3 linked regions of the Lonchura striata genome follow. The main gene of each other region encodes a partner of the protein of the gene in region 3 in a complex. Links are inferred from orthologs where the notes say so. Each region holds a gene or a part of one and is shown on either strand. Other genes may lie near its edges.

Region 1 (7,524 bases), on a different chromosome or scaffold from region 3:
AGCCAGGGCTTTCTTAGGCAGGAATGACTAGTTACACCTCTGTACAACACTGTGCAGAGAAAGAGGGATATTGCTACTAAACTGTGTAAGCTTTGAGTGCAAGGCTCTGGGGGAAACTAACAAGCATCTTCTTTCTTCAATTAGTTCTTGCTCTGCAGCTTTGCTTCCCCTTCAAAAGCAAGTAATCTCATACTGCGGCAAGTAACAAGTCTGCAGTCTCCAGAAACAAACCAGGCTTTGGCTCCCTACAGCTCACCAGCTCAGGGGTTATCAGGGGTTATCTTCTCCAGTGATCCCTGGTTGCCTCAATCTCAAATCCCATAAGCTCTGCAAGCAGCGTTTCCAAAATAGCTAAATCTGGAGGCAGACACACGTGCACGTGTGCACAAAGACAGACAATCAATTATTTTATATGGATAAGCCTATTGAATTATTTCTTAACATGTTTTTCTTTCTATGTGAAGCAATTCCTGTTTCGTCTTAATTTCAGAAGCTGGGTTTACAATGCAATGCTTCTGCTTTGCCTTTTGCCTCAGCAACTACAAATCTCTGGAGGCTTTGTAGTGCACCAGAATGGAGAAGGGAGAGTCACACTTCAGCAGACAGTCTTTTATAACCTTTTCTGATGTTTTACTGTGTCTTAAATACAGCAGAGACCTGACATACATTCAAATTGCCATGTACTGAAGAATGGAGAAATGATAGGAGAGAAAATACTATGTGTCCTTCTGAATTTCTAACTACATCACAGTGCTTTCGGAGTGTCAGAACACCCTGGGAAGTCTATTTTATTTTTTTATTACAGCTTCACTTAATTTTGAATTAATTCTTCCTCACTCCCCTTGCATGTAAAAATGATTGCTTTTGCTTATATATGTCAATTTTGCCACTGTCCATATTCCTGCTTCACTTGCATGTCCCCAGTACAGTATTAAATGTATTAGGGATAAGTTTAAGAGCTATCACTGATTATAGAAAAGAAATGCCTGTTTAAACCATTGGCATGAGATGTTTACCTATCTGACATTGCCAGTTTCAGAAGAGATGTGCAGGTTTCACATAAACACACATATTCAGATGTGAAATCCTGTTAAATTAGGCCCAGAGAGGGAGAATAACTGATGCAGTTCAAAAAGCAAGGTGATGAGCTGCAGATACCCAGAACTTATAAACAGCAGGCCTGAGAGCAAAACTACAAGGGAATTATTCAAAATAAAGATAAGTAAGAGAATGGAAAAATTAAAAAAAAAAAAACAAAACCTGAGAAAACTTATTGCATATTTTCAGACTAGAGGAGAAGTGAAGATAGGGTCTGTGTTTCTAATGAAATTGTGAAACATAAGAAGTGAAAGAAGCAGGAGAGAAGGAGGTGGGGAAGCAGATATGCTGAGTGCTGACTAATGGGCAGTGGTGGCAGAGGACACAGAGACTGTTGGAAGGTGCTCCTCCCTCATGGAACACAACAATTTTTTATCTTATCTACTTTTTACTAGTTGCTTCAGTGAAGAAAGGCCTGAGGGATGCCAGAGTGACTATAAATATCACCTGGTTGCTTTAAATGTTGGTGGCAAAGACACTAACCAAAATGTGTTCCTACTGGTTCCTCCATTTGTCTGTTGAAGACAAGGCTTGGTTGGCTTTCAGTCTGATTTCTCAGCAGATTTGGGAAAATGCCTCTAGAGAGTGCTTTGCATAGAGTACTAAATTCTTTCTTCTTCCTCAGCATACAGAGATGTAAATTTGCTTGAGTGGCTCTTCACAACAGCAGCAGTAACAACATGCTCTCCCGTAGGGAAAGATGCAAATTCATCTCCCACAGGGATGGGTTGCACTGTGTTCTAAAATGTTTGCTGGCTCTGATGAAACAAAAGCCTTCTGAATCACATGAAGTGCACTATATTGCACCTTTCCAGACATTCTGGCATGAACCTTTAACCTTCCAAAGGCTATTTGAGTCAGCCAGTAGCCCTTGGCATAAACTGGCGCATGTGATTGCACAATTTATGGACACTGATTGTGTGCTGGGAAGCACACAAACACTTCCTCTGAATGCTCATGAAACCACTGGCTCTCAGGGCATAGATGTTTTATGCACAACAGAGGAGGTTATGCCCAAGAGCTTGTAAAACGGCCACAGCAGTGCACAGCAGTGCTTGTCAATATATTATATTGTAACACACTTGTAGACTCACAGACAGACCGATTTAAAGTCTTGTACAATGCTCAGGATGCTTCCTGTGTTTGAGCCCTGCAGTTAAGTGCTACAGTAATGGACTTGAAAGCATGTTGCTGCAAGAACTTGCCAAATGGTGATGGTACTCACTAAATACCCAGTGACAGATCCGAGGGAGTGTGAATCACATGCTAGATACTGTTTTTTATGTCTGTAGAGAAATTCTTTTTGCTGAACACAGAAATTCCGATCTTCTGTGGGAATTTGAAGGTTTGAACGATGGGACAAAGATGCAGCTTGGGGAATTTCCACTTACTGAAAGAGAAAGTAAGCTTTACACATGAAATAAAAAGAAGACAGATATTTCTTAGATGGTGTTTTGTGATGCATAAACATTGCCTATATTAGGTTGCTTTATATTCGTTAGGAAACTTTTCCTAGTTTCTGGTTGGAGAGTCTAACTAGTTCAAGGTTTAAAGAGCAGGAAAAATACCCTTAAAAAGCAACAAATACAGCTTTTCTTGGATGTACAAATAATGTAACTTTAAGGTATACTACCTAAAGCCATTTTAAAGTTTAAGTGCAATGGCCCAAAAGTGCTTTTTGCCTTGTCCTACTGTTTCAAGCAACATTCCTTGCACGTTTTTCTGAATTTCATTGCACTGCTCATAATCAGCTGAAGTTAATTACGGAATACTAACTTTCATGGGCCTTCAGAGTTGTGCTTCTGCAAAGAAACAAGTGGACAGTGTCGGCAAAAATGAAATTTATTTTAAAAGTAACGGTTTTAGATAATCTCAATAAATGAAAATGCTATTAGTATTCTCAGTAGAAGCATGAAGTGGTAAAAGTGGCCAGAAAAAGCACTCAGGTAGCCTAAAGGTAGCATAGTGCTCAGCGATGCTTATACATAAAGAGCATGAATCCATAGGGCTCATGCTCCTTGACTTTTTTTTCTCTGTATTTTTAGACCCTAGTAAAGGCCAAATACAAAACTTTTATCCTGAACCCACTCACACATGCTCCTGAATCCACTCACACACACTCCTTGCATCACATCAACTTTGCCTTGTGGCAGGCGATGCAAAGCTCAGAATTAACAGCTGGCCAGTGAAACCATCAGTAAAACCACAAATTGACCAACTGCAGCAGGAAAACACTGTACAATGCATTTGGCCTGCGTTTACACAAAACAGGTCATGCTTTGCGCTAAGAGAAAAGACCCAGTGGGAAAACCAGCCTGGAGCCTGCTCACACGGTTCTTGCTCTGTTTCCTTTTTCACAAAATTAAACTTTAAGACTTCTCCTCATCCTCTGACACGATCAGCCTACCATAGTCCATCTCCATTCCAATGGAAAAATTAAGCCACACCACTATTCAGTTTTATTAAGAGGGAGTGTGTTTGAGCGTGGAAAGATTCTCTTGCCAAACACCAACAAGGACTCCTTCCTCACCTGCCAAGCGCTCTTTACTGCAGCAATCCATCAAACCTCCTTTCGCCGTGTTCACCTTCCCCGGGGAACTCGGGGTGGGGTGTGGGGTTGGAACTCGGGGTGGGATGAGGGATTGGAACTCGGGGTGGGATGAGGGGTGGGATGAGGGATTGGAACTCGGGGTGGGATGAGGGGTTGGAACTCGGGGTGGGATGAGGGGTTGGAACTCGAGGTGGAACTCGAGGTGGGATGAGGGGTGGGAACTCGGGGTGGGATGAGGGGTGGGATGAGGGATTGGAACTCGGGGTGGGATGAGGGGTTGGAACTCGAGGTGGAACTCGAGGTGGGATGAGGGGTTGGAACTCGAGGTGGGATGAAGGGTGGGAACTCGGGGTGGGATGAGGGGTGGGAACTCGGGGTGGCGGCACCATGGGGAGTTGGGTCGCAGGTGTGGGACGCGAGATGGGGATACGAGAGTGCCAAGTGGGGGCTGGACCGCAGCGACCGAACGCACAACGGGACGGGCCCCGCAGGCGGATTGCGGAGGTGGGACACGGGGATCGGGGTGGGACGAGGGTCCGGGAGGCGGGTCCGGAGGAGGGATGAGAAGGCTGGAGGAAGGCCTCAAGGCGGGTCCGGAGGCAGGATGAGGAGGGTCTGGAGGCGGGTCCAGAGGCGGGTCGGAGGCGGGCGCGTGAGGAGAGCTGTGAGGGCGGAATGAGGGGCTGTACTTCCGGTTCGGTGTTGCCGTACGCGCTCGCGGAGCGGCTGCGGGCCGCTGGCCAATAGCGAGGCTTACTGGAGGAGCGCGGTCGTCGCTGGTTGGCGGGCGGCGGGCCGGAGGCGGGGCCAGGCGGGAGGGGCGGGGGCGGCCGCAGGTGCCGCCCCGCAGAGCCGGCGCAGCGCCGGCCGGGCCGGGTGGGGGCCGCTGTCGCTGGTGCCCGGGCAGGATGCGGCTGCGCTCGGGGGTGTTCGCCGCCTCCTGCCTCCTCGTGCAGGCTTTGGGCGTCGCGCTGTTCCTCCGCGGCTTCTTCCCGCTGCCCGTCAGGTCGGTGCCCCGCAGAGAGGCCCGCGCGGACCCTCCCGCCGAGCCGGCCCCGCCCGGCCCAGGTAACGCGAGCAGCCGCCCGGCGCGCCCGCCCTCGGTGCCGCGGCTCCTGCAGCGCCCTCGAGTTTCCACACCCGCTCCCCGAGTAGCTTAGAACTTAACTGGTTTTCACGTAGCTGCGGATCGCAGGCAGGAATACCTGCTCACAGTCGAAAAGCCTCAAGCGTCGGCTGTCACTTTTTTGAGCCGTGATACGCGGTGCTGTTCAGTGGCACCTGGTTTGCATTAAATGCTGCCGCCTCAGCTGAATCGCCTCACGCGTTTGTGATCATTCGCTGGCTTGTTGTGTCCGAGATTCATTGTTTCTGCGATGTTTCTGTGGTGTGTGTGCCTTAATGCCACCTCAGTGAGATTTTAACAACTCAGTAGTGACAAAGCAACCGTAGTAATGCAGGTTGCAGTATGTACAGTGTTGCCGTCCATCACCATTTTTGTGAAATCACTCTTTATCAGGTCCTGCTCCATTCCAGAGCTGAATTTGTGAAATCAGAATTTTCAAGAATCTTTTTAAGGATACTTGTCTCATATGTTCAGTCACAAACTGTATTAAAGTAATTAGAAGAGGACTGTGCGCTTGAGGGACTGGTTTTTCACCAGTTTGGAGCATGTGGGATGAAACTTCAAGTTCACTTGGCACCTGGATTGAGTATTATTTTGCTCATACAAAGCTCTTGATTGGGACACTAAGTTATGGTTAACTTTTTGGAGCAGGACTCTAACTCCCAAACTGGGTCTTCAGCTGCTTGATATTTACTGTTAATTCTTTTGAACTGTGTGATGTTGTGCCTGTAGGGACAGGCTTACTTAAATTTTGAGTTGCAGTGGAGAGAACAGAAGGTTGTGTGATTTAGAGTGTGACATGCTGGTATTGGTTAAGCAAGAACAAGAAACAATCTAATCTGGTAACAGACAGAGTGGTTTCTGCTGAAAGGCAGGTTGATTTTTACCTGGAGTTTACTAAGACTGCCACAGGTATTTGATAGACTGCTGTGAGTGAAATATTGCATTCACATGTGATTATTTAGGAGAAGACTAATGTAGAAGGAGACTGTCAGAGATGTCAGACAATTTGGGTATGAAAGGACGGGTTTGTGTTGAAGAGTAAAAGTGTGTGCCACAGGGCTCTACAAGCAGTTTAAATTAGGCATGTCATGAGCAAGCCTAAGTGTAGTAGGCAAAAATGGAAAGGCAGTAGAAAAATATTTCCTGTAGTACTTGGTTACAATGTGCTTGCAGAGTGATACCTGCATGATAAGGTCTAAAGGCAGGGTAGTGCTTACTAAACCATGATGCAGGAGGCTTTCAACCTACTTTAGACCTATTCAGAAAAGAGTATTTCTCCAGTGCTTCTTTAACTCTTGAAATGTTTCCCTTTGTGAACACTCCTGATTGCTGTTGAGTGCATGCTGTCTTGGCTGTGAGAAGACTGTGATACTGAATGCTTGCAGCACATTATTGTAATATGTTCTTGATAGAGAATCTGTGGTTTTCTTCACAGAAGTTCAGGTTCATAGACCTGAACAGTTAGAGTAACTGTTTTCTAAGTAATCCTGGCAGATATAAATAAGCATACTGCATGGCCAGGCTTGGACATTGTGTTGATTTAACTATCTTACAGTAAGTATTTTCACGTGGCTTATATATGACTCCAAATCCATTTGAACTTCTCAACACTTTGACTTTCTTATAAATCACACTGCAGGAGGAAGTTAGGAGTAGGGCATATGTGTTTGTGATCTGAACATTTTTGGTGTCCAGCAAGCTTTCTTTTCTAAGCAGTGGATAGGGGAAAGATGTAACTAGCAGAACATCTTGGTGATGCCTTCTTGCTTTTCATGGAGAGCTAAAGCATGCTGGATAAGTTGATAATTCAAGTCCTGGAAAAAACAAAATTTTCAGTTGAATTAGGATTGCTTGCAGTCAGCATTTTGTTGTGATTTCCTTCTTATCCCTGCTGTGCCCTCCTCTCCCATTTCCTGATATGGAAAAATCACTAGCAGTAACTAGTATGTGAATGTTAGGTTGTTGATGCTTATCTGTGTACCCCAAAATAAAATTTCTGAGGTTGTTTTTGTTGTTGTTGTGTTAGACACACCATTATCTGCCACCTTCCAAGTTGTCAACCACTTTTGCATAAAAAAACTCTAAAGGACTGTAAAACCCCTAACTTTATATAAGGCATGTATGGAACAATTGATTCAACACAGTGGTGTCTGGATAGAGGCCTGTGGATAGGATATATCCTGCTTCCATTTTGCCCTTGTGTGTTTCTTCCTGATAGAGAAATGAGACCTATAGAGGTTGGAGCAAAAATGCTGCTGTAAGACCTGAATGTCACCATGTGGACCAAGTTCAATGCAGATGAAGAGTTGCTGTGGCCAGAATTAAGTCCATGCAAGAGAAAGAGGTGGGCTTGAAGGCATAGCGTTGCCTACTGCTTGATGCACACCTATATATTCAGGGAATTCTGGAATTGGATTTTGACCCTGCAGCCGCCATCACTGAAGTAGTCTGTCATACAGTCTTCTACCTTGAAGGGAGTTAATATGCATAAATCTGTTTCATGCAGGTTTCAGTGACACTGTCTCTTTCTTTGTAATCTTCCTGTTATCTTAAGGTGAGATTTCACACAGAAGCACTGTTTATGTTGTGATGTGCAAAACTGGGTATTAGCACAGGTGAATGCTGTGTCTTTTTTGAACAGAGATTGTCTGTCAGACAACTTGTTCAGCTTTACTGAAGTAAAAAGAGGAGGTAGCACCTATTCCTTCTTATTACTTAGAACACTCTCCATTTCAAAGCTTTTCCT
Region 2 (7,788 bases), on a different chromosome or scaffold from region 3:
TCAAAACATCATAGTGTTGTCCAGGGAATGTAAGATCCTTTTTACAAAGCCTTTAGATAGGAAGATCTATTTCAGCCAATCCTCTTCTGCATCATGCTGATATGTCACAGTGAAAAAGGATGAGCCTGCCCAGCTGTGCTGTGGAAGAGGGGGTTTCTGTGTTTTGTTTGTGCTGGTTCACTAAACAGGCTCTGCTGTTCTCTCCTGACAGATAACGTCACCCTGCAGATCGATGGTGTGCTCTACTTGCGGGTTATGGACCCCTACAAGGTACCATCCCTGTCCCTTGGGCACGTTTTTTCTGGCTCTGCCCACTCCCTGCTCCCCAAAATGTGTACTCCAGCCTCTGTGTCCTGCCTGGCGGGTGGGCTGGGCACTCTGACTCATCCCAAGGCTCCAGACTCCATGTTTTCAGCAGGGATGTCTGGCAGATTTCTTGCTGCAGTGCTGTTTGTCTCTCCTGCCTTGTTCAGGGTCCCTCTTGGCATCCCTATCCACTCTGTTTTGTGCTTCTGCTCTTCAGGCCAGCTACGGGGTGGAAGATCCTGAGTACGCAGTGACCCAGCTGGCCCAGACTACCATGAGATCTGAACTTGGCAAACTTTCCCTTGACAGAGTCTTCCGGGTGAGCTGGGGAGGTGGATCACAGAGCTGACAGTGTCTCCCAAAATCCCAGGACAGCCTGCATGGCCAGGCTGCTATGCCTAACAGCAAAATGCCCTTTTGCATAGAGGGCTTATGGCTTCTGTTTCAGTTGACCTATTGGTGAATCCTTGGAGATGGGTCTTCTTTCAGTTGATTTTTTCAACGGGAGCTATTTTTTGCCCTGCCCTGGGTTATTTGGAGGGGATGATGGGTGGTATGTGCCCAGACCCAGCTGGTTCTAGCCACCTTTTTTGAGTCAGTGACTCTTTGCTCAGCCCCAGTGATGAATATCCTTGACCTGTGTCATGGGGTGCTGTAATCCTTGTACTGCATTTGCTGGGAAGAAACTGGAGTTGCTGGCATTCTCTAGTATTCAGATGTTGTATCCCAGCAGCTTCAGTGTGAGGCACTGCTCTCCCTAGGAGTTGGTGACCCCTTCAGCAGCTGCAGGAAGCACCTAACCCTGCCCGAAACCTGTGGAGGTGATTTTTTCTGGCAGACCTTAGCCTGTAAGGGAGGTGTCTGTTTCCCTCCTGACACCTCTCTCATGCTAAACCCTTCTTCTCTGCTCTCTGCCATTTCTTCTGTGCCTCCCAGGAGCGGGAGTCCCTCAATGCCAGCATTGTGGATGCCATCAACCAGGCTTCAGACTGCTGGGGCATCCGGTGTCTGCGCTACGAGATCAAGGACATCCACGTGCCCCCACGTGTGAAGGAATCCATGCAGATGCAGGTGAGGCTCTCTGGGAGGGGGTTCTGGAACAAGAGGGAAGCTTCCTCTTCCATACTGCATTATAGAATCACAGAATCAATAAGATTGGAAAAGACTTCATCAAGCCCAGCCTATGAACAAACACTACCTTGTCTACCAGACCACGGCACCAAGTCCAATCTTTGCTTAAAGATCTCCACAAACAGTGTCACTGACACCTGTCTGGTAGCCCATTCCAATGTCTAATCACCCTTTCTGTGAAGAAATTCTTCCTAATGTCCAACCTAAACCTCCCCTGGTGTTGCTTGAGACTGTGTCCTCTCATCCTGTTGCTGACTACCTGGGAGAAGAGGCCAACCCCTGTGTGACTGCAACCTCCTTCCAGATAGTTGCAGAGAGTGATCAGGTCTGTTCTCAAGACCTTGTCTCCTCTTGTCCAGACTAAACAACCCCAGCTCTCTCAAGGACTTCTCATCAGACTTGTGCTCTAAATCTTCCCCAGCTCCATTGCTCTTTTTGGACACTCTAGCATCTCAATGTCCCTCTTGAGGTGCCGAGAACTGGACACAGGACTCAAAGCATGGCTCCCCAGTGCTGAGTACAAGGGGATAAATCACTTCCCTGGTCCTGCTGGCCACACTATTGTTGATAAGGGCTGTGGTTCATTATTGTTACCTGTCCATAGCTGGCAGCAGCCACCCCTTGTTCAGAAGGGCACTTTGGCTGCAGACATATAGCTACTGAACCAGTAACTCCTGTCATAATTTTTGTGGTATTGGCCCCTGCCTGCTACATACAAGCCCTGCCAAGTCCCTTTAAAATCCAATCTGTGGAGAAGCAAATCTCAGAGCTGAGATTTGAGAAAAACTGGACACCTTGGGAAAAGCTAGACACCAGATATTTGGGCTGGAATAGGAGGAGAGGGAAGGAACTGTCCACTTAGGTGGGAATGGGGCTGGAAGGGCTGTGTGGCATGAGGAGCAGAACTAGCCCTTGCCAAGACCACACAGTGTTCTGTAGCTGTATTTTCATGCTTTGCTAAGCCATGCTTCCCCCAGCAGAACAGAGGAGCATGAATGCCCCAAAGATGGTATTTCCTCATCACGCCCATGGCAGGCTGGTGTCTGACCTGTGTTTGCAGGTGGAGGCAGAACGACGGAAACGGGCAACTGTGCTGGAGTCAGAGGGGACGAGGGAGTCAGCTATCAATGTGGCTGAAGGCCAGAAGCAGGCCCAGATCTTGGCATCAGAAGCTGAGAAGGCTGAACAGATCAACAAAGCTGCTGGTAGTGCCTGGGGATAAAATGTGGGTTTCTGTAGTCCTCTGGACTGAGGGGTGGTGCTGTGGGGGAGACTGCATCGCTGTGAGCCAGGCTTCCTCAGCCACTGATTCTTCCCTCCTGGGGCCTCAGGCTAAGCTCCAGTTGATGTTGCTGTCCTGCCCCAACCTCCTGTAAGCAGGAGGCTTGCAATAGTGTTGCTCTTGGGGAAAATCCAACCATGCGTGGATTGAAATTGTCTTGATTCACTCCCTGAGATGGTTGGGATTCAGTCCTTGTGAGTGCTTTGTCGTGATTCTGATGTGCACCTTGCTGTGGTTCTTTGCAGGGGAAGCAAATGCCATGCTGGTCAAGGCCAGGGCCAAGGCAGAGGCAATTCAGCTCCTGGCCGCTGCTCTGGCACAGCAGGTGAGTGATGGCTACCTGGAGCAGCCACTGCTTTGGTGCTGGCACTGGGGGAGGTGAAACTGCAGGTAGGGTGGCATCTGGTTTTCTCCTGGACACTCCCTGGCACCTTCGGAAGCAGCAGGGAGTGAGGATCTTTGCTGGACTGGGGTGGGCTGGGGATACAGGCAGGGATGAGCTGTTGGTGGTACGTGACTTGTCCCTCTGTCCCCAGCACGGCAATGCTGCTGCCTCCCTGTCTGTGGCAGAGCAGTATGTGAACGCTTTCTCCAAGATTGCCAAAGACTCCAACACTGTTCTGCTGCCTGCCAACACCGGCGATGTCACCAACATGGTTGCACAGGTCAGTGTAGCCCATGTGTCCTGGGCTGCGTCCAGAGCCCCGTGGGCAGCAGGGGAAGGAGGGGATTCTGCCCCTCTGCTCTGCTGAGACCCACCTGGAGCACTGCATCCAGCCCTGGGCTCCCAGCACGGGAGGGACAGGGACCCAATGGAGTCAGCCCAGAGGAGGCCACCAAGATCATCAGAGGGAGGGAGCACCTTGGCTGGCTGTGAGGAAAGGCTGAGGGGGTTGCTCAGAGAAGCTGTGGGTGCCCCATCCTGGGAAGTGTTTGTGGTCAGGTGGGATGGGGCTCTGAGCAACCTGCTCCAGTGCGGGGTGTGGAGGGGCATGAAAAAGATCTTTGAGATCCCTTCCAACCCAAGCTGTTCTTGCTCTCACCCAAGTGAGGATTGTTCCAGGGAGGTGAAGAGGCCATCAGGGTGGGGCCTGGCCCTCTCCTCTCCTTCCCTCCCTATGACTGTCTCATTCCCTCCAGGCCCTGGGGATCTACACTACACTGACCAAGCCACAAGCTGTGAAGACCCAAGATGAGATGCCCCCAGCCCAGGAGAACTCCCACTCTCCTGCCACAGAGGTGCTGAAGGCAGAACAGGGCAGCTCCAGCTAACAGGGCTGGAAGGATCTCATACCCTCTCCTGAGGCCTGCCAGCAGTCCTGCTCTGCTGGAGGCAGTCAATCTTGTTCCCTTAGTCCCTATTTTGTATTGGATTTAAATCATGTAATAAATGGTAACAGTACTGCTGCAGCATGTTCCCTCATGCTTGGGTGCCTGACCCTAGCATTCAATGCCAAAGGGGGATCATCCCTCCTCAGCAGGCTTCTGCTGGGATTTCCCATGGATATGCAGTGACATATAAGAGTGAAAAACGATGTTAAGAAAAAAATCTGTGAGCATGGTGAGGTGCTGGCACAGGTTGTTCTGGGAAGTTGTGGATGAGGCTCTGAGCAACCTGATCAAGTTGAAGGTGTCCCTGCTCACAGCAGGGGGGTTGGAACTAGATGATCTTCAAGGTACCTTTCCAACCCAAGCTGTTTTATGATTTGTGAATTTGGAAACCCCACTCTTACGAAGGATACCTCTCCCAGTGCATCGCCTCTCTGGGAGTGTCAGCTACTCTCATCATCCTGTCCTCTGTCTGCTCCCAGAAGCTGCCCCTACAGTGTATGACTGTGTTCTCTACAGCGAGCTCCTCACATCGCCCAGCACAGGGCCGGGAGTGCTTCTGTCGATTAATTAATTATTTGATTAATTAAAACCACACTTTCGCCGTTGCGAGCGCACCTGGCGTGGCGGGAGGCGCGCTGAGACCTCCTGGGCGCCAGGAGGCGCTGCCGCCGCAGGCCGCTCCCCGCCGTGCCGCTCCAGCGCGGTCGGCGCCACGCGCGGCGCTTCCGGGAGCGCCGGGCGCCGCAGGTGGGCCGGGGTCAGGTGGGCCGGGGATCAGAAAGGCGCTGTGAGGGGCTGGGGCGTGGGGGACACAGCGGCGTGGGTGGGGGCTGGGCGTGTGTGAATGGGAATGCGGGTGTCGGGAGGGGGCTGGGGGTGCCGGGCAGCGCTGGGCAGTCGGGAGGGAGCAGGATTCAGCTCCGTCCGGGAGGGGATACAAGGAAGTGCGTGGGGCAGTTGCCGGACACGGAGTGGGACCAAGGGAAGTCAAGGCGGGCTGGGTGGGTGTGGGAGGTGCTGGGCCAGGGATGGGTGTCGGTACGGAGGGAGTGGTGTCTGCCCAGGTAGAGCCGCTGGGGCTGAACCTGCCTGTCCTTCCCTCTAGGATGCAGCGGTGGCCAGTGGTGCTTTTCCTGGCCTGGGTTTGCCTTCTCTTTTTTGCCGGTATCGGGCTCTTCATGAGCGGCTTCCTGCTCACCCGGATCGAGCTTGCCAGCAGCAGTTCCTGCTCAGACCCGGTCGTGCCTCCACTCTGGGAGAGGCAGAGCCTCCCACCAGGCTCCTGCTGGGTTCCCCAACGCTTTTCCAAGGCCGTGCTCATCATCATTGACGCTCTCCATTTTGAGTTTGCCCACTTTGACCCCGCCAAGACCAGCCCACTGCCCTACGAGAACAAGCTGGGTGTCCTGCACCAGCTGGCCACCTCCCAGCCCCGCCATGCCCGGCTCTACCGCTTCCGAGCCGACCCCCCCACGGCCACCATGCAGCGCATCAAGGGCCTCACCACCGGCTCGCTGCCCACCTTCATCGACGTGGGCAGCAACTTTGCCTCCTACGCCATCCAGGAGGACAACCTGCTGGCACAGCTGGTGCAGAATGGTGAGTTCCTGGCCTTTAGCTCAGGCGAGGGAGTTTCAGAGTGGATATAAAAAACCATTTTTTCACAGCTATACGAATAGGTTGCCCAGGGAAATGGTGGAGTCACCATCCCTGGAAGTGCTTAAGAGACTCTCAGATCTTGTGCTGCATGGTGTGGTTTGGGGTTTATAGTGGTGGGTGGATGATTGGATGGATGGTTTTTAAGGTCTCTTTCAACCTTGATGATTCTGTGTCTGGGGCTGTTCAGCCTGGAGAAGAGAAGGTTGTACAGCAACCTCATAGCAGCCTTCCAGTACCTGAAGGGGACCTACAGAGAAGCTGGAAATTAAATCTTTGTCAGGAACTGTAGCAATAGAATGAAGAGGAATGGGTAAAAATTGATGGAGAAGTTTAAGTTAGACATGAAGAAGAAATTCTTTACTATGAGGGTGGTGAGACACTGAAACAGGATCCCCAGGAAGGTTGTAGATGCCTCATCCCTGGCAGCGTTCAAGGCCATGCTGAATAAAGCCTCGGACAACCTGATCTAGTGGGATCTAGTGATCCCATCCTACCCATGGGATGGGGCTTGGAAGTGGATGATCTTTAAGGTCCCTTCCAGTCTCTTAACATTCTGTGATTCTCTGTGGGCAGGGCAGCAGCCCAGTGGAGCAGGGCACATGCAAACTCTTCTCAGTTTAACCTGTATTCCAAATCTTGATTACTTTCTCCCTGGGAAGTGCACCCCTTACAACAGATCCACCCTGTGAGCTGATTCTTTATCCTGCTTTGTGACAATTGCTTAAGGCAGGGTTGTCATGCAGGCAGGACATGGGTTGGGAATGAGATGAGAAGTGCTGTAACAATGACTTCATCATCTTCAAGGATGATGAGAAAGCAGGCAAAAGTGGCAACACTGGTGGTGTTTGTCCCAAGGTCACCCCCAGGAATCCCTGTAGGATTGCCAAGGTTGTGTTGTGTGAGGCACGTGACAGGGGAGGAGCCAGGTGTGCCAGGTGGTGCCAGGTGTGCTGTGGGGGTGTCCCTCAGGCAGCCAGCCTGCCTGGACAGCTGCCTGCAGGCATGAGACAGCAACCTCATCGCATTTTCATTGTGGTTTGATGCTGCTAGGGGGTGCTTAGTTCTGCTGTAAAGGGCTTGTTACAGTGGGATAATGGTGTAGAGGGAAGAGGGCAGGCCACAGTGGTTTGTTACCCAGAGAGACTTCCTCCCAAGGCTCACAATGGGCTAAGGCAACATGACTTTGAGTGAGCAAGGTGGGCAAATGTAGTGAATCACCTGAAGTAAAATGAAGATGGTGATCACCAGAGATCCTGTGCCAGAGTAGCAGTCTCAGAGAAAATGTTCCTTGCTTCCAGGCTGAAAACGCTCTGTGGAAATACAGCTGGCTGATGGCAGGCAGGGCAAGGAGAGCAAGGGCAGAGGGAAGCATCAGTGCTTTTGCCTTCTCTTTTCCATGTCTGAAAATTGTTTTTAAACGCCAGAACTCAGGACTCACATCTTCTCCTCCATCACCTGCTGCCTTGCATTTTGCAGTGGGGTCACGGGCCTCAGGTGAGGCTTTGTCTGCTTAATGCTGCACCCTGTGCACCCACCTGTGTTGTGGTGGCCCAAGAGCCTTTCTGCAGGGGTGATGTGTCAGATCAGCAATAAGTCCTGAGGTTATGCAGTGACTTTGTTGTAGGGGTATGACACAGCTTACAGATACTCGTAGACTGGTCCCTCCCTGTATTCAAAGTATTTTGCAGACAGATGGTCTTTTTTTTAGTGAAAATTTTAGTTTTGGGTGTGGGTTAGAGAAGAACCATTGCTCCAAATCCTGATGTGGGCCTGCTCAGGCTCTTTGGATTGTTGTGGTAGCAGCATGACTCAGGAGGGCTCCATCTCTCATTCGTTCCTTTCTCTCTGGCTCAGGAAGGAGAGTGGTCTTCATGGGTGATGATACATGGGAAGGACTCTTCCCAAAGAAGTTCTTCCGTTCCTATTTCTTCCCTTCTTTTAACGTAAAGGATCTTCACACTGTGGATGATGGGATCCTGCAGCATCTCTATCCAACTGGTAAGTAGATCTCTCACCAGGGCCTTGTGGTATTCCTACTGCAAATTTGAGGTAGGGCTGGAGGATTTTTTTCTGTTACA
Region 3 (7,703 bases):
TGTTTGGTCCCAGCAAACACAAGCATTGTAAAGTAGTGTATGTAGACAGAAGAACTGCAAACAAAAATGTCTCAGTCACTAACCTACAAAAAGAAAAAGAATATTACAAAATTAAGTGAGGTGGTTTTTCTAAAAGTTCCAAGATTTAGGAAGAACAAAGTCCCTCTCATTCAACTTGTGAAAGCATGTTCGCTTTCTTAAACTTCATATAAAGGAATAAAATATTTTTTTCTTACTCTGTAGAATAGTAAAGGAAGCTTGAAAGAGTTCTGCTGTTATCTCAAGAGTGAGATGTAGTAATTTTTTGAAATGGCTGAGACCTGTAATATTTTTAAAAAACCACAGGTGTACTTCACATAGATCATTAGTTCTAAACTGAAGTATTCTTGGATATTTACCAATTTAATGATTCCATTTTTCCAGTTGTAACAGCAACCATGAAACCAAACTACATTAAACTACTGTTAGTCAACAACTTAGTATATCTTTCAAAACCCAGGTTGCTTCACACTTCTTTCATTAAACTTTCAAAAAAGTTAAAACACTAACATCAAAAGGATGAAAGACAAGCCATGTGGTTTAGAATCATATAGGGAAAATGACTAAATAAAGCTACAAAAAATATTTGTGCCCATATGTCGAACATAAAAATTAAAGAAGCTGTTTGTAACTGTATTACAGTTTTTATTTATAGAAGTCTCATTTAAAAGCTGGCTTCCAAACAAAACAACTGAACAAGCAAAAAAAACCCAAAAAAAACCCCCAAAAAAACCAACCACCAACCCAAAACCAAGAGAAAGCTGAAACAGCCACCTTTCTTCCCCCAGCTAGGAGCTTATCCCTTAACTTCTAGTGTACGAGAAAATACACAAGTATTTATACCAACATCTGCAGGGAGAGCTGCCCCTTAGAATATTTAGAGAAAGAGAGGGTCTTTTGACTTACTCTATGAGAGGTGCTCCATAAAGAACAATAATCGCATGAAATAGTATGCAAGACATGAAAAAGTATATACAGCATTTTAGAAATCTGGATATCTAAAAAAGAGCAATGAAATATCAGAATAATGCTTCAAAACAGAACATAAGTAACACACACCCTCTAAATCTTTATCAAGTGCATTGTATTCTGATTAGTACTTTAATTTCAGCTGAAGCACAATATAATAGCATGGCATATTTCAAAACAGTTTTCCATATATTAGTACTTGAAATAATTAATTTAAAATCATCACAATCCACCTACAATTTTTTTTTTCACGCATCCCATTAAAACAGGGAAAACATACAAAAAATATAACCAGAAATTACAAGATAAGCAGAAGTAATTTTATTGGACATTTTTACACTTCTGTTTTACATCTGTCATATCCATTCATTAAAAAGCAACTCTCACAAAAAGTGAAAAAAATTTAAAAGCAAGAAAACATACAATATATTAAAAGTCTGCTAAACAAAGATTCAAAATTACATTAACTAAAACTACATTTTGAACTTGGCATCTTAAATTCTGAATATATTTGAGAAATATCCATAACTTTCTGTAAGTTATATATATACACTTTTCTATGAACTTAACAGTTTCTGGGTACTCACTGTATCACGTAGAGGCAAAAACACTTTATACACAGTTCTGGTGAGGTCTGTTTTGATCAGGTCTGTTCTGAATCTGTAACTTCCCTTATTTTTCTATATTTACTCCTACCTATTTTTTCTTCCTAGGATAAAATCTCACCTAGAACATGATGTGTGCTTCATTTTTAAATTATGGATGGTTAAAATACTTGCTTTCCATCATGGTTTTGTGCATTTCATATCCTCCTCAGTCAGCAAAACTATACACAAGCTTTGCACACAAAGAGATGCTGGCAGGGAAGATCACTTAAACATTTAAGAACCACCTCAGAGCACTACATCTTGCCTGGCTCAGCATGTCAGGAGTGAGACTATCCCCACCCGATTTCAAAACCCTGGGGTATTCCTCCACTGCTGGGCAAGTCGTGTGCTGCTCCAAAACCACTCTGTTCCAAAGTATTTCATTGGGATTCACACCTTTAACACTCCCCGTTGCAAACTAACTACAAAAAGCTTCTCCCAAATTAAGATCTGTATGCAAATTTCATCATACGAGGAAATGCAGGCATTTTAATACCTTTCCATGTAATTTTTTTTTCAGTTGTTGAAATGTAGCATAGTATCTCTTTTATGTGTCAGATTCTGAATTTATTTTTTTTCCTCTTAAAGTTATTACAAACTTACAACTCCACATGAGGAACGTGTGATGACATTTCTTCCTGGTATATCCACTTACCAAGAAGATGAGTCAGGCCTGGACTACAAAATTAGTTCTGTGCCATTTAATTTTGCCAGGTTTTGCCACCACGCAAATTCCTGGGACAATAAACAATATTGCATTGGCAAGAATCAGGAAAGCATAGACTCACTCATCTGAACAGGTTACTTACAGGTAGGGAAAGTTTAACATCATGAAAATACTGAAAAATTTGTTTCAAGAGATGCTACACTCAACTCACTGATAGAAAATGAGAATTCACCATCAAAAATCGGTTGGTTTTTTTTCATTTGATTATTTTAAATGAGATAGAGAATTTGCTTCCCCTCTGGATTGACTGGCAACAACGTAAGAATTTTTTTTAAAAGTCTTACCTTGTGAGCAAAGGAACGTCTCTTAGGAGACTGGTTTGGTTTAAGGACTAAGTGCAAGATTATATCGAGGGCAGCAACACAGACAGAACAAACACACAGCCAGGTGAGGTGCGTTCCCAGGACGCTGAATCCGTCCAGGAGGAAAGCCGGGGCCAGGGCGGCCAGGACGACGGCCAGAGCGCGGAGCAGGTTGGCAGCCAGCAGCCGCCCGACCTCCGCCCCGCTCATGGCGCCGGGCAGCGCCGCAGCATCGCCCCGGCCCGGGACGGAGCTCCGGGCCCGGCGGCGGGAGAAGGGGAGGGTGCTGGGGCAGGAAGCAGCGCCCGTTCGAAAAGCCAAACCCCGCCCGGCAGCGGAAGGCGGCGGGGCCCGGCCGGCGGCACCTCCGGGGCGGTGCCGGAAGCGGCGGCGGAGGGGCGCCATGGTGTGCGACAAGTGTGAGTACGGGGCGGAGGGGATCCAGGGCTGCCCGACCGCCTGGGCCTGCCCGAGGGCATCCAGGGCTGCCCTGAGCGGATCCAGGGCTGCCCTGAGCGGATCCAGGGCTGCCCTGAGCGGAGCGGCAGCCGCGGGTCCCGGGCTGCTCAGGGCAGGCCGCGGGGGGCGGTCCCGGCAGGGCCCTGTGTGAGCTGTGGTTCTCCCCTATGTGAGCTGTCCTTCTCCTCTGTGTGAGCTGTGGTTCTCCCCTGTGTGAGCTGTCCTTCTCCCCTGTGTGAGCTGTCCTTCTCGCCTGTGTGAGCTGTCCTTCTCGCCTGTGTGAGCTGTCCTTCTCGCCTGTGTGAGCAGTCCTTCTCCCCTGTGTGAGCTGTCCTTCTCCCCTGTGTGAGCAGTCCTTCTCCCCTGTGTGAGCTGTCCTTCTCCCCTGTGTGAGCTGTCCTTCTCGCCTGTGTGAGCTGTCCTTCTCCCCTGTGTGAGCAGTCCTTCTCCCCTGTGTGAGCTGTGGTTCTCCCCTGTGTGAGCTGTCCTTCTCCCCTGTGTGAGCTGTGGTTCTCCCCTATGTGAGCTGTGGTTCTCCCCTGTGTGAGCTGTCCTTCTCCCCTGTGTGAGCTGTCCTTCTCCCCTGTGTGAGCTGTGGTTCTCCCCTGTTGAGCAGTCCTTCTCCCCTGTGTGAGCTGTCCTTCTCCCCTGTGTGAGCTGTCCTTCTCCTCTGTGTGAGCTGTCCTTCTCCCCTGTGTGAGCAGTCCTTCTCCCCTGTGTGAGCAGTCCTTCTCCCCTGTGTGAGCTGTCCTTCTCCTCTGTGTGAGCTGTCCTTCTCCTCTGTGTGAGCTGTCCTTCTCCCCTGTGTGAGCTGTCCTTCTCCCCTGTGTGAGCTGTCCTTCTCCTCTGTGTGAGCTGTCCTTCTCCCCTGTGTGAGCAGTCCTTCTCCCCTGTGTGAGCTGTGGTTCTCCCCTGTTGAGCAGTCCTTCTCCCCTGTGTGAGCAGTCCTTCTCCCCTGTGTGAGCAGTCCTTCTCCCCTGTGTGAGCTGTCCTTCTCCCCTGTGTGAGCTGTCCTTCTCCTCTGTGTGAGCAGTCCTTCTCCCCTGTGTGAGCTGTCCTTCTCCCCTGTGTGAGCTGTGGTTCTCCCCTGTGTGAGCTGTGGTTCTCCCCTGTGTGAGCTGTCCTTCTCCTCTGTGTGAGCTGTCCTTCTCCGCCTGTGGCACATATCGATGTGCATCGTTTAAATTATTCTGTCCTGTATCATCACTAGCGTGAGCAGCAAGGCCAGGGAAGGGATTGTCCCACTGTGCTCGGCACTGGTGAAGCCGCACCTCAGGTGCTCTGTTCAGCTCTGGGCACCTCGCTACAAAAAGACATTGAGGTGGCAAAGCAAGGCCACAGAAGGGCAGCAGTGCTGGTGAAGGGTCTGGAACAGAAGATGTGATGAGGAGCAGCCGAGGTTGTAGGGGTTTTTTAGTCTGAAAAGAAGGAGACTCAGGGATGGCCTCATCACCCTCCTCAAGTCCCTGAAAGGAGGTTGTAGGCAGGTGGGGACGGGCCTCTTCTGCCAGGCTACCAGTGACAGGACAAGAGGACTCAGTCTTAAACTGGACCAGGGCGCGTTTAGGTTGGACATTCAGAATTCTTTCCTAGTCATGGAGACTTGGAATGGGCTGCCCAGGAAGGTGGTGGAGTCACCATCCCTGAAGGTGCTTAAAGAAAGACTGGATGTGGCACTCGGTGCCAAGGTCGAGGTACATGCTGGTAATTGGTCACAGGTTGGACTTGACAAATTCAGAGGGCTTTTCCAACGTAATTGACTCCGTGATTCTTAGCTTTTTCCTTTGTAATGTTTCCTTATGTAGGTGAGAAGAAGCTTGGAACAGTGATCACTCCTGATACATGGAAAGATGGTGCAAGAAACACTACAGGTAACCTCAGCAAGGTTTAGCAGCTTGGTTTTGAGGTATTATAAAGCCAGCTGTGCACCTGAGCTATGTTAACATCTTAAGACCAAAACTTTATATTACTAATCATGTTAAATATTAAGTCATGTACTTTCCCTCCCATGCTGATTTAATGCATTGGGAATTTATTTGTCCAGAACTCTTTGGTATTGAATTGGTCTGGTTTTGTTTTCTGGAGTTTTTTTCTTTCTTGCATGGGAGGACAATACATAGAGTATTTAAACAGAGCATAAAGTGTTCTGTTACCCTGTCTCCAATGCTGTGCTGAATATTTAATCTCTCTTCGTGACTTTATTTGCATATGTGTAAAAGTTGTAAATGAGGATTTTTAAAGTATGCTTGGAATGTTGGAATGGGGTTATTGATTTTTTTTTTTTTTTTAGAAAGCGGTGGTCGCAAATTAAATGAAAACAAGGCATTGACCTCAAAGAAGGCAAGGTTAGTCCTTAATACTGATTTTGGCCAAGAACATCATTTAGCAAACTAACTGAGACCTGTTTCCTACATAGCTGGGCAGCTACTCCAAACTTGTCCAAATACACTTAATAAATTAAAATTGCAGACTTAAGGTATTTGATTTGTCGGTAAAAATATGTCCATACATATTTCATGGGTGCTTTCTGCTCAGTCATGGAGTATTTTGCTGCAGTTCTCACTGGAATTGCTAGGATTTGATGCTTTTGTAGGAGAGAAGCTGAGAATACTTATTTTCTGTGCTAATATTGCCAGGATAATCTCTTGAGCATTTCCTGCATGTCTGCAGGACTTTCTGTTTGCAAGGGGGCAAGATGCTGCTGGGAGGTGTTTAACTTCAAAGTCATTTAGTATCTTAATAAAAATAAATATTTTTTGTTCTGCTTTCATGAAGTTGTCTGTGGTGGAAGAAATGTCTCTCAATAGGGAAAGTGGGAGCTTTTCTGCATACTTTGTGTAGCCTGTTAGAAATAATTCTTGCATGTCTCTTTTCTAAATTACAGTTTTTGCTGGAGTTTCTGACTGCACCCTCTGGCTTAGACTTTTAAAATGAGGCAGAAAAAATACTTCGTTTCAAGGAGTATAAATAAAGTACTTTTCCTTTTTCCCAGGTTTGATCCTTATGGAAAGAATAAATTTGCAATATGTCGGATTTGTAAGAGTTCTGTCCATCAGCCAGGGTCCCACTATTGTCAAGGATGTGCCTATAAAAAAGGTGAGCTTCATTGAGTGCCAAAATACTCCACTTTGGCTTGGTCAAGAGAGGAGGTACAACACTTAAATTTGTATTTGTGAAGAGAAGGTTAAGATGAGATTTAATTGCTATCTTCAGCTACTGATAGGCAGGCACAGGGAACATGGAGTCAGACTCTTAGGTACACAGAAATAGAATAAGAAATAATGTACACAGGTTAGAATGTGGAAAATTCTAATTTCATGCAAGGAAAGCAATTTTTCAGTCTGGGGGTGATCAAATACTCTAGTAGCAGGTACCATCAGTGGTTGTGAAATCTTTAAATCTGGTATTCAGAGAATGGCTTGAACAGTCCTGAGCCAGCCTTATCCAAGTTGGCTGTTTTAAGTGGGGCAGGACTAGAGACTGAAGGAGATTATTTTAAACCCTTGTCATTCTGTAATTCTGCTTATTTTATAATGTTTCCAGTGTCTGAAATAGTACATTTGGAAACTTAATCTAGGCAATTGCATAGAGAACTCTCATCTAACAAGTTCTAAAACTCAATTGCTTGTTGCAGTCCCTTTTCTCATCCCTTCTCTCCTCTTCCCTTTTTATAATAGCTAAATCTAAAATTCCTAGATGGAAAAAAGCTTATCATAAAGTCAGTTACGTGATTTGATGCCAAAGAATTTTATTATAGCACATGAGGTGAACTGTTTTTTGAGTGTAGACCTACAGCTCACCAATAGTAAGTTTTGTTTATGAAATTAAATGTTCAATAAATATGTGCTGTGTCACTGAGTCAGTGGTTTAGCAGCCTGCTGTAGGAATGTTGCCTGCTAGGTCCTTCCCAGACTGAACCCCATTCAGTAGAACCTTGTACTCTCTCTTAAATTTATGTCTGGTTTGGGTGGACTTCAGGATTTGATCTTTGTGTATCTTTTCAGGTTAAACCTGTTATCTTCATAAAATTAAGAACTTTCTAAGTGCTTTAGGTTCTAGCTCTGACCATCAAAGATGTCATTAGGGCATCCTTCTTGAAGCAAATGCATTCATACAGCTCAGTGCTTCAGCTTTTGCATATTTCTGAAATTGAGAAGCAATCTCAAGTTAATTAATCCTTAGTTTAGACCTGAAGTCAATATTTAGTGGGCTGAATTTTGGTCTCCAGAGTAAATCGTGTGCCGTGTTCCCTGCTGTTCTCTTCCCTAATGGACTGCTAGATATGATAGTCATGATGTCAGTATATGAAAGCACACAATTTGGAGAAAGCAGGAGTAGATGCCACTTGACATTTTTTGTCTGCAGCTGAATGTTTGTGTAAATTGAGGTGTGGTCCTACCAGATAAAAGATTTAGCACCTTTCTGCTGTGATAGGAGAGGGAAAGATTGAGACAATCCACCCCTCTGCCAAACTTGTATATATTCTGGTGCTCTGGTCTTTTGACTTGACACTCTTAGAGTTTAGGACATCAGTGTTCATGACTTCAATCTCCAGTATTC

What was found.
Region 1: PIGF (region 3) and PIGG share a complex: the UniProt entries of both Homo sapiens proteins name them as parts of the ethanolamine phosphate transferase 2 complex. The link is inferred for Lonchura striata from reciprocal best matches to the Homo sapiens genes PIGF and PIGG.
Region 2: PIGF (region 3) and PIGO share a complex: the UniProt entries of both Homo sapiens proteins name them as parts of the ethanolamine phosphate transferase 3 complex. The link is inferred for Lonchura striata from reciprocal best matches to the Homo sapiens genes PIGF and PIGO.

The regions. Positions count from the first base shown.
Region 1 is NC_134642.1:4,203,559-4,211,082, reverse strand, and holds the start of PIGG (GPI ethanolamine phosphate transferase 2, catalytic subunit), read left to right. Parts: upstream 1-4,509; 5' UTR 4,510-4,557; coding exon 4,558-4,717; intron 4,718-7,524.
Region 2 is NC_134642.1:40,254,111-40,261,898, forward strand, and holds the start of PIGO (GPI ethanolamine phosphate transferase 3, catalytic subunit), read left to right. Parts: upstream 1-4,749; 5' UTR 4,750-4,798; intron 4,799-5,156; 5' UTR 5,157-5,157; coding exon 5,158-5,650; intron 5,651-7,564; coding exon 7,565-7,708; intron 7,709-7,788. Other genes in the region: STOML2 (stomatin-like protein 2, mitochondrial), read left to right, coding at 212-270, 524-625, 1,243-1,377, 2,498-2,642, 2,965-3,044, 3,256-3,384, 3,860-3,991.
Region 3 is NC_134605.1:16,915,719-16,923,421, forward strand, and holds the start of PIGF (GPI ethanolamine phosphate transferase, stabilizing subunit), read right to left. Parts: upstream 3,005-7,703; 5' UTR 2,895-3,004; coding exon 2,667-2,894; intron 1,038-2,666; coding exon 946-1,037; intron 84-945; coding exon 1-83. Other genes in the region: CRIPT (cysteine-rich PDZ-binding protein), read left to right, coding at 3,088-3,103, 4,949-5,014, 5,434-5,488, 6,136-6,239.